2 linked regions of the Mus musculus genome follow. The protein of the gene in region 2 interacts with the protein of the main gene of each other region in a biochemical or structural test. Links are inferred from orthologs where the notes say so. Each region holds a gene or a part of one and is shown on either strand. Other genes may lie near its edges.

Region 1 (4,589 bases), on a different chromosome or scaffold from region 2:
GGGCTCCCACAATTAGCAGAGGAAGAGCACTGTTAGCTGGAAGCAGGCAAGAGCCAGCCCCTTCAGGTCACTGACTGGTCTTTGGCTCTCTGCCTAGGGTCAGTGACCACAGGGCCAGGGAACAAAAGCAAAACAGGTCCCTCCTACAGTCAGCCGCCCCTCCGGGCTCAACCTCATTTTCAGCTTTCTAAAGCCTTGCCAAGGACATTCTTGTGTACCTAGGCTGGGAATCCCCACTTAGCCCAACACCCACCAGTCCCACAGGCACATCCTCTCCTTTCCAGGTTAGGTGCAGGGAAATGAGGGAAGTGAGGTTGCTGCAGGTCTGTGAGCACTTCAGGCAAAAATGTGCTGGATGGGGAGTTGGTTCATCTTATCAAAGGAACTAACACATTCTCATTAGCTTTACCCTACTGCTTTTAGCTTTGAACAGGAGGTGTGGCTACATGCAAACACTGAGCAAGCAAACCAGGACTAAATCTACAGGACTAGATTAGGAGCATTTTCAGAGGCAACAGTACTGCTAGATCAAAGAGAAAGGCAGAACTCAGATCTAGAGGTCTGAAGGGCATCTGTCTTTCTTACAAGTTGGCCCTATACTCACACTAGGAGCATAAGTCGAGGTGAGGGGACAGTCCTGGCAGGAGCTTCCCTTATACAGACTGCTGAGCTCAAAACGGTGACTTCCTGAGATCGCACAGGAAAGTGCAGAGTGTGGCGGCTGGGAGCTGAAAAGTGCCTTCTCAACAGATTTTACCTCCACCAAAGGCCTGAACTCAGCACAAGTGCAGCCAACTGCCTCCTGATCAAAGGTGCACGAGAGAGAGAGAGAGAGAGAGAGAGAGAGAGAGAGAGAGAGAGAGAGAGAGAGAGAGAGAGAGAGAGAGAGAGAGAATGTGTGTGTGTTAGAGCGAGTGTGTGTACATGTTTATACGCATGTGTGCTTAAGGGGGAAGGGCAGGTCTCAGGAAAGCCAATTCTTCCAGCTACCTGCCTGGCTTCTGCAAACCTAGGGACACAGTGACTAGGCAGACAGTTCTGGGGGGGACAGCTGTGCTGAGGGATACAGTTTAGAGAGCTTTCCAGAGCCTGAGGAAGAAGCTCAGAGAAGCTGATCTGGACCTGCTGCCTCCAACTCAGCCCTCCAAGTACTCACAGTTATGGACAGACTCAAGACACCAAGGGGCTCTGGACCACTCATTCAGGCTGACCCTTAAAGAAGGGGTTTGGGCACCTCTGTCCTCTCACACTAGACAATCTGGACATTAGTCTCAAGCAAGATAGTGACCCTTCCTTGCTAAACCTTGCCTGTAAACCTCAATGCAGGAGACCCCCTACGTAGGTCTTCTCTCCTTCAGGTACTGACATTGTTTGAAGAGAACGGAAAACATTAAGTTCACTGAAGCACAGTGCCTCCGGAGTTTAACAATTTTCTGGAACCTTGAAGTTTCATAGGGCAAGTTCCACACCAAATGAAAAAAACACTGCACCTATGAGCAGCCTCAGGGCTCAGGGTTAAGGGGACATCCCTTAGCACAAACCACAAGGTAAGCACAGTCTAGACATGAATCCCTGGGCAAGGAAAGCAGTAGGATGGAGTTCAAGAACCTTCACGACAGATAAGTCAGTAAACAGCCATTCAGCCACACCCCACAAAACTGTCACCTCCCAAGAGTCTCCAGACACCCAACAGGGCACACACACTTTTTGGTAACTCCAGGCAACAGTGGGACCCCAAACTCTTCTGAAAGGAATAACATTGGGATAAATAAAACTACATCTTCTACTCCATGGTTGCACCTCAAAAACTCTCACCAGCTGCCTAGATCCACACTCTGCTCTCCTTAGCTGGTTAGAGCTGCCCCAGCTTCTTTCAAGCCACAGACCCTTCTCCCCCTGCCTCCCGGTCTTCCCCATCTAGGACCGACGAAGCCTGGCCATTCAGGGTCACAGAGAAGGAAAGCTTGCTTCCCAGACGAGCTGGCTCGGCCCACCTAAGCTCCTCCCCTCAGCGTACACCGATCGGTCTCCGGGTTTGGGGAACTGCCCCAGTTGTGGGACCCGGGCCAGGAGCCCAAGAACCAGGCAAGGATGCGCACGCCCGGGGCTTTACCTTCCACCCCGGGAGAAACCTGCGGCGCGCCCCTGCAATGCCTCCTTCGGAGCCTTTGCCTCCAACTCACAGGTCTGTCAAACTTAAACACGACCCCGGATCCCGGCCCGACCTTCACCACCCGGATCGAGCCCTGTCTCCCGACTAGACCGGCCGATAGCGGGCCCCGGCCCCCCGCCCTGGCCCAGCGTCAGCAGGAGCACCGAGTGACCTCATGCTGATGACTCAGCACGTCTCCGCTGGGCTCGCACCCGCGTGGCGAGCCCAAGCCGCGCAGCAGGGTCTCCCCGCCGCCTCCCCTGTGGGCCCGCGCGCGACCCCGCCCGCGCGGAAGCCGACGGACACCTGATGAGTCAGCAGCTCGGTGCGGCCACCCCGCTGACCCGGGCAGACGCGCGCAGCTCGCCCTTAAATCGCGCCCCCCGCAGGGCACCCGGGGTCCGCCGCCGCGCGCACGCCCGTCCCCAGCCTCGCGGTCGCCCGGTCCGCCGGCTCTAGGGGGACACAGGCGAACAGCCGGCTGGCGGGGAAACCAAGGCACGCGCTGCCGTCGGGTGCGCCGCAACCCCGAGGCCAGGCCCCGCCGCCCGCCCCAGCCCCGCGCACTCACCACACTGCGGGCCCGGGCGGGCCAAGGCGGGGCTGGGGCGGGGCCGCGCGCGCGCGCTCCGGGGCTGCGCGGGGCTGGGGCGGGCGCGAAGGGTCCGGGCCGGGGGCTTAGGAGGACTGGCCGCCTGCGCGGGCCGGGCCAAGCGCGCTGGGAAGGCCGGGCCGGACCGGGCTCAGAATCCGCCGCCGCCGCCGCTCCTCAGACGTCACATGATGTTTGGTCACGTGGGTTCCATTCATGAAGCGGCGACGCGGCTGGCCTAAGCTTAAAGGGAAAGGCGAGGCGGCAGCAAGGCGAGCGCGCCCCCATCACGCCTGCGCAGCCCCGCGCCGTTGCCCTTGGCAACGCCCGCCGCGCCCTGGCAATGTCTCGCGGGAGTCGTCCCGGCGCTCGCCGGGTTGACCGTGCTCCTGCAGAGACAGGTTCTACGGAGTGGCCCCAACTCGGATGCCTCTAGCTCCCTCCCGATCTCCACACCAACTCAGACCGAGGTCTATGGGAGGTTTGTTTGATTTTCTTCACTTGGATGCATAGTTTCACTGTACAGCGAGCAGACTGGATTTCAATTCCCTGAGATGCTCCTGCCTCGGCCCCCTGAAAGCGGAACTCACAGATGAGCGTCACCACGCGGGAACCTATTTGCTGTTTTGAAGGTGTGACACAGTGATTTAGTTCCTTACCCCGTTCTGCTGCGACGTCCTCATTCTAAATGGGTCAGCAGTCTGAAAAGGACACGGCTGTTGAGGGGCACAGCCCCAACCCCAGCTCAGATCCCCAAACTATCCACGATGACACGAAGGCTTGGAGGACGCTCACTAATGATTCTAATCTCCGGAGGGTGCTAGGGGCTTCACCTGCGGCCGTGGACCATCTCTTCGGGTAGTGTGCGTGCACTGTAGGAGTTGTGCACTTTGCCCAACCCTTCTCTGCCGCATTTGAAACTACTTTGGGTGCATTCTGCTGCTACTTTTTCTGTGAGACTTCTCGCTGCTGTTGAAAAAGTAAAAAAGAAGGAAAGTAGGAGGGATCAAGTTTTCATTTCGAGGTTCTGAACGTTCTATTTGACCCTGTCTTCTCTGGGAATCGTGAAAAGGTGACTCGTTCTGTAACATAGGTGACAAGGAAAAGGGGGTAAGCAGGCTGGAGGGGGCCTGTGTGTGTCCTTTGTGTCAAATTTGGTTTCTTGAGACAAGGTTTAGACCAGGCTGGCCCCAAACTCTCAGAGATCCGACTGCCTCTGCCTCTCTAGTGCTGGGATTAAAAACATGTGCCACCACACCCAGCCTCAAAAAGTAATTCTTTACATTGTATTTCTTTGGGGAGTGGGGGGGGGGGAGCTTTTATCTTTCACTGGCTGTAGCCAGAGTCTCAGAATACAGAGAATTACTCCTTATGCCTTGTGGTGGTTTGAATAGAAATGGCCTGCATGAATTCTAAATGCCGTGTCTAAATGCTTGGCCCATAGGGAATGGCACTATTAGGAGGTGTGGTCTTGTTGGAAGACGATTGTCTCTGTGGGGACAGGCTTTGAGGTCTTATATACTCAAGCTATGCCCGTGTGTGACTTACAGTTTCTTGCAGCCTTCAGAATGCAGAACTCTAACTAAGCCCATCCTCCAGCAGCAAGTCGGCCCTGATTCAGTCTTGCTACTCTCCATGACAATAATGGATTAAACCTCTGAAAGCGTAAGCCAGACCCAATGAGATGTTTTCCTTTAGAAGAGCTGCCGAATGGAGTCTCTTCATGGCAATAAAACCCCTGAGACAAGACCTCTGGGTTTCTGTTACTTATCTTCATCCTCCCTCCCTTTGTTCTTGTTCTAGTTATGAGATAGGGTCTTAGTCTATAGGCTCTGTTGGTCAGCA
Region 2 (2,672 bases):
CTCGGGAGGCAGAGGCAGGTGGATTTCTGAGTTCGAGGCCAGCCTGGTCTACAGAGTGAGTTCCAAGACAGCCAGGACTATACAGAGAAACCCTGTCTCTGGGGAAAAAAAAAGAAAGAAAGAAAGGAAGAGAGACAGAGAAAGAAAGAATGAAAGAAAGAAAGAAAGAAAGAAAGAAAGAAAGAAAGAAAGAAAGAAAGAGAAAGAAAGAAAGAAAAAGAAAGAAAGAAAGAAAGAAAGAAAGAAAGAAAGAAAGAAAGAAAGAAAGAAAGAAAGAGAGATAAAGAAAGAAATCCTGTATCGAGAGGAAGAGAGGAAGGGAGGAAGACAGGAAAAAGAAGGAAAAGGGTAGTGAAGAGGAAAAGGCTGTTTAAGCAGGAATAAAAGTCACTGTTGAAACCTCAGAAGACAACCTCACATTGAACTGGTTACAAAGTCTCCTCAAGCCAAATGGCTCCTGTTCCGTTATTTTCTTCAGGAAGACAAGGTCATTATTATCCAAGATGGACTCTCAGAACCCTTTTCTGCTGTGGCTATCTAGAGTCAAAGGGTCAAGTTCAGGACTTTGCCATTCCCTGGGTGCCCAGCAGAGGGAGCCAGTGTGTGGAGGGAGGGTCTAAGGGCAGATCCTGAGGTGGAAGCAGGCACAGAGCCCAAGCTGAGGGTTCACTCTCTGTCCAGTCCCAGGTGCAGTGAGGAGGAGAACACATATTACAAACAAGGCCCCCAACTTACTTAGTGGAGCTATCCTGCTCAAGCCTAGCTGAGGACAAAGGCACCATTGTTAGACCAACAGACACCCCTTTGTCCTACATTCAGGAGGAGAGGACCCCAGCACAGTCTATCTCCCCTTTCTGAGGCCCTTTAACTAAGGCTCTGCTACCTGGAGAAAAAGAGTTTGTTGCTAAGGACGAGGAGTGGTAATGAGGGAAGATGGACAGAGCTGGAAGAGAATCGGATCAGATGAGAAGATAAAAGGGAGGAGTAGAGCAGAGAATGGTAGAGAGAGATGTAAGCAGAGCAGCTGGACAGAAGCCTACAACCCCAGCCAGAGTCTTCCCTTCCCCCTGGTGTTCCTCATTGCCCCCCTACTCTCTGCTTCTGGCCAGGCAAGAGCCCACCCCCTACTCACCTGCAGCTCAGTAATGGACATGATCTCTTGCCAAGTCAGTTCCATCTCTCCAAGCTCCCCAACAGGCAGCTGTGATAACCTGTTCCTGTTCTGCTGAGGAGGACACGGGGGCATCCTACTGTGCCAGCTGATGGCCCCAGGTCTCCACAAGCACAAAGGATTCCTGCAACCTGTGTTGAAGAAAGAAAGGTATTAGAGTTGCTCCCACCAAGTCAGAGGTTGTCCTCGTGCAGAATTTCCAGGAGAAAGGAGCGTTGTCAGTGACTCACAGGTGCCATCAACCACCCTATGAACTGTAATGTTCTTTTCTTCAGTGGAGTACTCTCTACCTCACCTGATCTGACCATAGTCAGTCCTCTGGACACAGAGTAGGTATCCTTACTTTTTCTCAGCAAGTTGCCTTCTCTTACTCCCTAAAAATGGTATTCCTGTCCAGAGACAAAATCCAGTCTTTCTCAGGTTTGGGGATTGAAATTTCATTTTCCATTCTGGAAGAAAACATCAAGAGTCACCCTTGCCTTCTTCTTGTGTCCTCAGCGTAGGGTCTAACCCTTTCATTGTTGTTTTTTAAAACAAGGTCTCGCTATGTGTCCCTGGCTGTGTCCTAGAACTTGCTATGTAGACCAGGCTGGCTTCTAGCTCACAGAGATCCGACTGCCTCTGCCTCCCAAGTGCTGGAATTAAAGGCATGTACCACCACACCTAGTATTTCAGCCCTTTCTTCCCAAGAAGTGAGTGCTTAGAGATCCTCAAGGAGTGTGTTGTGGGAAGTGTTAGTCAGACAGCCCCTCCCCTTCTCTGAGATAGGCCCCAAGCCTGCCGGTGATAGCAACCCTTCCCTCTCCTCCCATCCTTACTTTAGGTTCCCCTGCCTGGGCCAGATAAGGGGTTTATCAGCTGCAGGCAGCAGAGGCAGAGGAGGAATGGGCTCCAGGAGACACTGGACCTTTACCCTTTATCCCAACAAGGTCATTTGGTCATGTCCCACCCAGCATAACCAGGGCTCCTCTCTCTTCCAAGGTCAACACTCAACAAAGATTTAAGCAAGCACTTGTCAAGACTTTTATGCATTTTAAAAGCATATTAGGCTGGGCTTCACAAAGACCCTGTAAAGGCAGATCCTACAGGCAGATACTGAATAGATGGCAGGTTGGAACCTGATCACATCCATTGCTGCATTCTAAGCTCCTTTGGTTCCCAAAGTGCTGACTATCCACAACCCACGCCACTACAAGCAATTTACCTTAGCAAGTTCCCATAGTGTCTCAGGCCCTTTTCTCTTCTGGGCAATATCACTTTGGGCTCTCCTTCTGTCCCTCTTTTTAATCTGGGTTCTAGCTTTCAGCTCTGCTGCAAAGCAGCAGTGTGGTGTTGGGTAAGACACCTCACTGTTCCTGGTTAGTTCTCCCAGTAGTAAAGCCAGAAGGTTAGACAAGCCAACTTGAACCCTTACAGCCTGGTCATTTGCAAACTCTTACCGTGGTTTTCATCATCTCCTCTTGGTCCATCTCTCTCCTCATCCTGCCTCCATATTCCCTGA

The links.
Region 1: the proteins of Nfe2 (region 2) and Mafg form a complex in vitro, tested with the Homo sapiens proteins (2 studies listed by BioGRID and IntAct, with this or other methods). The link is inferred for Mus musculus from reciprocal best matches to the Homo sapiens genes NFE2 and MAFG.

What each region holds. Positions count from the first base shown.
Region 1 is NC_000077.6:120,630,639-120,635,227, forward strand, and holds the start of Mafg (transcription factor MafG), read right to left. Parts: upstream 2,910-4,589; 5' UTR 2,724-2,909; exon of another isoform or gene 1-2,723. UniProt on the Homo sapiens protein: Since they lack a putative transactivation domain, the small Mafs behave as transcriptional repressors when they dimerize among themselves.
Region 2 is NC_000081.6:103,249,797-103,252,468, forward strand, and holds part of Nfe2 (transcription factor NF-E2 45 kDa subunit), read right to left. Parts: exon of another isoform or gene 2,611-2,672; intron 1,958-2,610; exon of another isoform or gene 1,691-1,957; coding exon of another isoform or gene 1,651-1,690; exon of another isoform or gene 1,402-1,650; intron 1,303-1,401; coding exon of another isoform or gene 1,247-1,302; coding exon 1,133-1,246; intron 1-1,132. UniProt on the Homo sapiens protein: Component of the NF-E2 complex essential for regulating erythroid and megakaryocytic maturation and differentiation. Binds to the hypersensitive site 2 (HS2) of the beta-globin control region (LCR).